Callithrix jacchus: one gene and its partner. The protein of the gene in region 2 interacts with the protein of the main gene of each other region in a pairwise test. Links are inferred from orthologs where the notes say so. Each region holds a gene or a part of one and is shown on either strand. Other genes may lie near its edges. The genes, in order: BRK1 and MRFAP1.

Region 1 (4,567 bases), on a different chromosome or scaffold from region 2:
TCTTCCTGCTGAGTAGGCTGAGTAAGAGGAGGAAGAAGAGAGGGTGGTTTTGCTATCTCATGAGTGGCAGAGATGGTAGGGGAGGCAGGAGAGGTAGGCATAGCATAACTTTTATTGAAAAAAATATGCCTCTGGCCAGGCATGGTGACTCATGCCTATAATCCCAGCACTTTGGGAGGCTAAGTAGGGGTGGATCACTTGAGGCCAGGAGTTCGAGACCAGCATGGCCAACATGGCAAAACCTGTCTCTACTAAAAATACAAATATTAGCCAGGTGTGGTGGTGCACACCTGTAGTTCCAGCTACTTGGGAGGCTGTGGCAAGAAAATCACTTGAACCTGGGAGGTGGAGGTTGCAGTAAGCCAAGATTGTACCACTGCACTTCAGCCTACGTGACAGAGTGAAAATCTGTCTCAAAAAATCTGTCTTATTTACTTGTAATTAATTGTTATTTTCTCTAAATTCACTTTCTAAAATCTTAAAAAACCACCTAGTAATTACTCCAAACATTTGCCCACTATCATCCCTTTAAGGGAGGATAATGATCTAAGCTAAGGGAAATCATTTCTTTTGGAGCCAAAAACTTAGGCTTCTGTATGTCTAATTCCTTAGTTTAGAATTTGTTGGGGGGCCAGGGACAGTGGCTCATACCTGTAATCCCAGTATTTTGGGAGGCCAAGGCGGGCAGATCACTTGAGCTCAGGAGTTTGAGATCAACCTGGACAACATGGCCAAAACCCATCTCTACTTTAAAAAGCAAAAAAATCATCCAGGTATGGTGGTGCACACCTGTAATCCCAGGTACTCAGAAGGTGGAGGCACAAGAATCGCTTTAGTCCAGGAGGAAGAGGTTGCAGTGAGCTGAGATCATGCCACTGTAATCCAGCCTGGGCTAGAGTGAGACCCTATCTTTTAAAAAAAATCCTGTTTTTTTTTTTTTTTTTTAAGAGACGGGGTCTCACTATGTTGCCTAGGCTGGAGTGCAGTGGCTATTCACAGGTGCCATCCCACTACTGATCAGCACAGGATTTTTGACCTGCTCTGTTTCCGACCTGGGCCGGTGGCACCCCTCCTTAGGCAACCTGATAAGTCCCAAAACACATCCACTATAAATTTAATGGGTATGATATACAAGGACTTATGTCAAAGATAAATATAATGAATTAAAACTTTACAAGTGGCCAAGCACAGTGTAATCCCAGCACTTTGGGAGGCCAAGGCGGGTGGATCACCTGAGGTCAGGAGTTCGAAACCGGCCTGGCCAATATGGTGAAACCCTGTCTCTAAAAAAAAAATAAAATAAAATAAAAAAATAAACGTTTACTAGTATAATTCTGTTCTCAGAAATAAAATCACATTACTAGGATCCAAGTCAGAATTTTTTTTTTTTTTTTTTTTTTAACAGGGTCTTACTCTGTTGCCAAGGCCTGGAGTGCAGTGTCAAGAACATGGCTCACTACCTCCAGGGCTTAAGTGATCCTCCTGTCTCAGCCTCCTGAGCAGCTGGGACAATAGGTATGAACTACCATGCCCAACTAATTTTTTTTTTGTTTGTTTGTTTTTTGTTGAGATAGAATCTAGCCATGTTGCCTAGGCTGGTCTTGAACTCCTGGGCTCAAGTAATCCTCCCACCTTGGCCTCCCAAAGTGCTGGGATTACAGGCATGAGCCACTGCACCCAGCCACGGATTACAGTCCTATATATCCTGCATGAAAATACTTTAATACAAAAATGATGCTCTTCTTTGTCCTAAAGTTGTCATTATTTCATCTTCAAGATTATAACTTCTTTGAATGTAGGAAGTGGTTCTTATTCTGTGTCTCCCACAGTGCCTTAAGAGAGGACCTTATATGAAGATCTAGCCTCTCTCAGCTGATGCTTTCTGACAATCTCTTGCTCTGTCACCTTTATACTCCTAAGGCCATCAGTCCTTTAGCTAGAAAATAATTAATTCATTAAAAATATTTCCAAAGTATACTAGTTGAAGAAAAGTTCACTAGATGTGTCCCTATATCCTGTAATTACACAAGAAAATCTAATCAGTGCCAAGTTCTCTTAAATAAACGCTTGGAGAAGAAGGGATAGGAGTCTCGATTACTTTGCTTGCTGTTCAGAGGAAAAATTTAAGACTGTCACAAGCAGGCCATGCCTAGGAAAGATTCTGGTAAAGATGTCTTTCTGCTGAAGGGACCTGATCTGTGTTAGCTCTGAGAACAGGCTAGAAGCAGACAGAACACCTACTATAAGCTATATACCAGCAATACAGAGAGGACTTCCAAGGTTCTACAAGATCCTGGAATCACTCCGACCTCATCTCCTACCCCTCTCAGGGCAGCAGACACAGGAGACAGGAAGGAATGGACAAGAGAGTGGTTGAGGGTGCAACTAAAAGGCATGACGCTAGAGGGTTTCGATTTGATCCTAAAGATGGGAAACCGTCAACAATCTAGAAACAGAGCACTGACACGGTCTCGGGTGCGCACTTTGAATGCAAAGTGGGGACTGGGATGGAAGCAGAGCATAAAGGAGGCAGGGAGACCACTTAGAAGAACCACGGAGAGAGGATGACGCTACCTGACGCGTCCGGGAAAAGGGCTTGTAGAATGGGTCCAGGGGGATGGCAAGAAGCCATGAGCTCAGCGTAGGGCAGGATGACCCTACAGAGACGGTCCAGCGGAGCCTGAGGGTCAGGGAGGAAGGGGGAAGCTGGGACCTGAAGGAGGAAGTGAAAACCCGCAACAGCCGAAGGCTCCGGGAATCCTCTCAAAGCATCTCCCCAGCGCCCCAGCCCAACAGCCTCAGCGGCCTCCCTCCTCCCCGCCTCCCCTTGCCGCCCCGCTGACCGAACGAGTTGAGAAAGTCTGCGATTTTCTTGATGCTGCTGGTGATTATTTCAATGTACTCCCGGTTAGCCCAGTCCTGGTGAATCTCCCTCTGCACCGGATCCTCTTGTCCCGCCATGGCGGCAGCCAGAGGAAAAACGACTGCGCAGGCGCCCCGACCCCATAGGCCTCCAGTGCGCCTGCGCCGCCAGCCCACACCCATCTTCTTGGGCACCCACGAATTCTCCGGCACTGTGATACTCCCGTGCAACGTCACGCCCTCGCCGGCGTTTGCTCTCTGCTCCCACGCTATAGAAACAGAAGCCTCGACTCCAGCGGCGAGATTATAGTGCATGCGCGTTACGGTCGTTAAATGGGCGCGTGGGGTCTCGCCGTCTCCCTCATATGCTCCAGGCTCAGGTTGCACAGTCAGTGTCAGCAGTAATATGGGCACTAAATCACATTAAATACAAGTCTTTTTTTTTTCTTTTTGAGACGGAGCCTTGCTCTGTCACCCAAATTAGAGTGCAGTGGCAATGCAACCTCCGCCTCTAGGTTCAAGTGATTTTCCTGCCTCAGCCTCCCAAGTGCTGGGATTACAAGTGCAGGCCGCCACACCCGCGTAATTTTTTTTTTTTTTTTTGCATTTTTACTAGAGACAGGGTTTCACCATGTTGGTCAGGCTGGTCTCGAACTCCTGGCCTCAAGTAATTTGCCCGCCTTGGCCTCCCAAAGTGCAGTGCTGGGATTACAGGTGTGAGTAACCATGCCCAGCCTAAATACAAGTCATTTTTAAAATGCCTTCCCAGCCAGACGTGGTAGCACACACCTGTGGCCCCAGCTACTCGGGAGGCTGAGACAGGAGGATCACTTGAGCCCAGCAAGTCGAGACTACAGTGAGCTGAGATCGCCCCCCTGCACACCAGCCTGGGCAACGGAGCAACATCCTGTCTCAAAATAAAATACCTAAAAGTAGCCGGGCGCGGTGGCTCACGCCTATAATCCCAGCACTTTGGGAGGCTGAGGCAGGTGGATCACGAGGTCAAGAGATCGAGACCATCCTGGTCAACATTGTGAAAACCCGTCTCTACTAAAAATACAAAAAATTAGCTGGACATGGTGGCGTGTGCCTGTAATCCCAGCTACTCAGGAGGCTGAGACAGGAGAATTGCCTAAACCCAGGAGGTGGAGGTTGCCGTGAGCCGAGATCGCACCATCGCACTCCAGCCTGGGTAACAAGAGCGAAACTCCGTCTCAAAAAAAAATACATAAAAATAAAATAAAATTCCTTCCAATGACACATGATGTCTGCCTCACATTTATCAAATGAATAACTTTTTCTTTAACGACAACAGCCATTAATGGATAGAGTCCAAATTTATATGGTCATAAATAGCTGGGCACACTGCAAACTGGCACAATCCCTTGCAGAAGGAAGTTTGTGTTTTTATGTTGTTTTTTGAGACAAGGTCTTATTGTCATCAAGGCTGGAATGCAATGGCATGATCATGGATCACTGCAGCCTCGAACTCCTGCACTTAAGCTATCCTCCAGCCTCCACCTCCAGTGTAGTTGGGATTACAGGCTCACATCACCATGCCTGGCTAATTTTTGTGTTATTTGTAGAGAGGGTGTTTCACAATGTTGGCTAGGCCAGGCTCGAACTCCAGATCTCAGGTGATCAGCCCACCTAGGCCTCCCAAAGTGCTGGGATTACAGGCATGAGCCACCACACCCGGCCTATT
Region 2 (4,085 bases):
TTATTAGCGCTTGGGACACATGGTTTTGTTTTTCTACCAACTAGGTTCCCCAGAAAGTGGACTCCAAGATGAAAACTACACGCACATTTTTTAGGGATTCGCACTTGTGGAAGAGAAGGAATGCAAAACTGGGAAGAGGGAGGAGATGGGCTGTGTGATGCAGTCCTAACTAAAGCCTCAGCAGACTCCACAAGGAGCTCGGAAGCCATGTCCCTCAAAATGGTCCCAAATTGGGTAAGACAAACAGAGACCTGAGATTTCCAGCCCATTAGTCACTAGATGTAGGTTACTCAGGAGAAAGGGCATTAACTTTGGCTAAAGCAGCTCTCCTCTGAAAAGGCACTGCCCAGAGGGCCAACCAGCTGAAGGGTGTCTTGTCAGCAACACTTGCAGCAGCTGGGGGATAAATGCTTCATTCTGGAAGGAGGGTGGCCCATCACCCCTCACCCTACAATTTTAATCGCTATATTCCCAGTCCAAGGACTAGAAAACAAAGTACTTTGGCTCTCTGAAGGCACAGGCCTGGACTACAGGATTACACGTGGTTACTTCCTACACTAAGAACCAAGTGTGCTTTCCCCTCACCCAGTTCCCAACAGCAGGCAGAGATAACGCTTCCCTTTGATTAGAGCTTGAGAGCCTCAGAAACCTAAGACATTCACACTCCATGTGACAGAACAATCTGGAAGAAAGCAGATTTCATTCTTAAAGGAATAACTTTTCTTAATAACCTTTGAGGTCTTTTGTCTTTTCAAGCAACTGAATACTTTTATTAACATGGTAAGTTTTTTTTTTTTTTTTTTTTTAAACATGGTAGGGTTTTGACCTCAAATATTTGTTAGGTCTGCTACTGAAATGAACTTACAGCTGGACAACGTATGAACCTTTACGACGCCTGTTTCAGTCCAGTTTAGGGTCCAATGCAGACGTTCCACACTCCCATCCCCCAGCCCCTCAAGGGCCTTTGCAAATCTTTCATTTTATGCCAAGTCCCCTAACACGCATCAGGGTATTACATCAACTTGTACAGAATATCAAGATCTCATCCTGTATTTTAGGTTCCATGTCAAATAAAGCTGAGATAGGTTACATCAGATAGTGTACCACACAAAACTGAAATTTTGAACAAAATACATCTCTCCTCCTTTGGTCTCACACAGAAATTAAAGTCTCCAAATACAGACAATACTATCCGTTCTCCAGCTCTTCTCCAGTCCCAGCCAGGTCGGCCCATCTGCACTCCCCGTCGAAGTCTGGTCCTTTCCTCAGCAGCTGCTGCATGGAGTCGTCTTCCACTCCTTCAGCACCTCCAGAGCTGGAGAACTCCAACTGTGAGTCTCATGCGCCACACACAGACCCAAAGTTCCAGGGAGCTATCAGGTCACACAAGAAAGAGCAAAGCACCTCAAAAATTTAGAAATAACCAAAGCCCGGGAACAAATGTGACTGCAAGAGCTTACAATCTAGGCCCTAATTCCTGCATGTGAGAGCATTTTCCAAACAAAATTACTTCCCAAACGAAAACACTGAACAATCAAAACTCATATTGAGGTCATTAACCACAGACCATAGCAGAAAACGTAGTGTTAAGTGAGACAGAGCGTAGACAGAGGAAAAAAGGGAAAACAAAAGGCTCTCTGGTTTCAGCTTCTCCGGGGTGTCAGCCAATCTCCACCAGTTGACCAGAATCCATTGGCTGCAAACCTAAAAGCACAATGGGAAGAAATTCATCATCGAGAGGTTAATCCCGGGCACAGCGACCCCCAACCCTCACCAACGCCCCCGTGCACGACGCCGCCTCTCCGAAAACCCTCTAACTCCGCCCCGCCCCTTGCCGGACCGTCCGTTTTCGTTTCCTTGGCGACTCTGAGATTGACGACCCTCCCCTTGAACACGCATCACGCCCAAACCCCGCCACTCTGATTATCCCACGCCGCCACCGGCAGAAAACCAGACACGCAGACGCGGCCGGCCCCGCCCTGCCCCGCGCGCGCCGTTACTCCCCCGCCCACCCCGGACCCCGGGGCCTCCGGGAACCGTCGCCCTCCGCTCCGCGGCCCCGCGCGGGTGCCCGACTCACCGCCGGCCGCGCTCACGACGACTCGCTCTTCTCTATCCGCCGGACCAGCTCCACCAGCATCTCTGCCATCTTCGCGATCTCCTTGGCCTTCTCCTCCGCCTTCTCGCACCTCCGGGCCGCCCGGGCCTCGGCCGCGTCGCCCGGGCTCTGGAGGTGGTTGAGGGCGCTCTCCTCCGAGGCCTCCACCTGCGTCTTGATCTGGATGAGCATATTGTCCATCTCCCACAGCTTGCTGCGGTTCCGCAGGTGCGCCCGCCCGTGCTCGCGCGTCAGCGACGCGATGTCCTCGCGCATCTCGTTGATGACCGGCAGCAGGAACTGCTCGAAATCCTCCTCGGGCTCCAGCACCTCCACCTCCTCCGGTTCCGCCAGCTCGACGATGTCCAGGGGCCGCATCTCCTCCCGCTGCCTCGGAACCCAAGTCGCGATGTCTGCTGGAGAGAGAAAACCGACACTCGCTATGCTTAGCCACAGAAAGCCCGAATATCACTGGAAACTTTTATACCCCTTTTCAACTTTTCTCCTCGGAGAAGCCACGGAGAAGCGACTTACGAGCAGAATAGCGGCGAACAAAATGGAGTCCCGGCCGTCAACCAGCGCTCTGCGCGTTGCGGCTCCTTTCACGACACAGCCGAGCCTCTTTACGGTCAGGCGGCGAGTTGCGGGCGCGCGCACGTCGAGAAAGGGCGGTGCCCGGGGAGCCGTCACGGCCGCACGGACGCGCACTCTGGCACCCGCGAGCAGGAGCGCGCACGGTCTCGCTCATCCCGGTGTTCCCGTTACCTCCGTGCGTCACCCTGGTTCTACCCTGTTTTTGGAAGGTGGCTTCTTCCGGGTGTTCCCCTCCTAGAGGGCGTTTCGGGCCCGCGAGTTTGCAGTTTTAGAAAAGGCTTCCCACAGTTGCCGGGCGTGGTGTCTCTCACACCTGTTGGGACTCCGAGGCAGGTGGATCTCTTGAGGTCAGGAGTTCCAGGCCAGCCTGGCCAACATGGCGAGACCCCGTCTCTCCTAAAAATATAAAAATTGGCCGGGCGTGGTGTTGCACGCCTGTAATCCCAGCTACTTGGGAGGCTGAGGTTGCAGTGAGCCCAGATCGCGCTGGTGCGCTCCATCGTGTGTAACAGAGCGAGACTCTGTCTCAATACAAATACATAAAATAGAAAATAAAATATAAATAAAAATTAAAAACGGCTTTCCCCACCGGAAGAGAAGGGGCCTACGTGATAATGCGGCAACCCCAGGTTGTCCCTTAGAGCCCCTTCCCCTCAAGCAGGACGACCTAAGCCCCCTCAGCCGTTTTGTTGACTTGCTATTATTTTAAAAGATTTTTTTTGAGGAAGGGTCTCGCTCTGTCGCCCAGGCTGGAGTGCAGTGGCGGGATCATGGCTCGCTGCAGCCGTCAACTCCTGGCCTCCAGTGACCCTTCCACTCCCGGCCTCCCAAAGTGCAGGGATTACAGGCATGAGCAGTCGTGCCTGGCCCTCTCTGCCTTTTTAAAGAGTAGTTTTCCTCTTTCCTTGGATGACAGAAGGGCCTGGGTGTCTCTTCACCAAGCCGACCTCCCCACATCCCAAGGTGGAGCCTGGCTGCTCCGTCGTGAGGCCCCAGCTGACCCAAGTCCAGTGTCCACAGCCTCTGCGCCTTCCACTGGATCCAGGGCTCTTGCGGGTCTAACGCCCGGGCCGAGCTTGGCACATAGTGGTAATTTTGCCTTAACAGCCACTCAACACAGAATGAGGAGAGAGACGCCAATTTCCTAGCTTGTTGTCCCATTCCCAAACACCAATCTACTTGTCAGAAACCCAGTTCGCATAAGTGCCATCTATTTTCCAGTTAAAGGGACACATCACAGTTTTGAATATAGCAGAATTAAGGATTCAGAGAAACGAAAGTATATGCTTTGTTTAGACTTTTCTCAGGTTCTTAATATTTTGGTTGTCCTTACGAAAACCCAACTTCTGGGCTTACTTACGTCAAAGGAAAATAAGTTTTGGGATCCTAAAAT

The links.
Region 1: the proteins of MRFAP1 (region 2) and BRK1 interact in binary tests that used the Homo sapiens proteins (3 or more experiments, as listed by UniProt). The link is inferred for Callithrix jacchus from reciprocal best matches to the Homo sapiens genes MRFAP1 and BRK1.

Annotation. Positions count from the first base shown.
Region 1 is NC_133516.1:67,286,578-67,291,144, reverse strand, and holds the start of BRK1 (protein BRICK1), read right to left. Parts: upstream 2,983-4,567; 5' UTR 2,962-2,982; coding exon 2,844-2,961; intron 1-2,843. UniProt on the Homo sapiens protein: Involved in regulation of actin and microtubule organization. Part of a WAVE complex that activates the Arp2/3 complex. As component of the WAVE1 complex, required for BDNF-NTRK2 endocytic trafficking and signaling from early endosomes.
Region 2 is NC_133504.1:186,867,096-186,871,180, reverse strand, and holds MRFAP1 (MORF4 family-associated protein 1), read right to left. Parts: upstream 2,676-4,085; 5' UTR 2,633-2,675; exon of another isoform or gene 2,515-2,632; 5' UTR 2,477-2,514; coding exon 2,093-2,476; 3' UTR 2,081-2,092; intron 1,705-2,080; 3' UTR 742-1,704; downstream 1-741.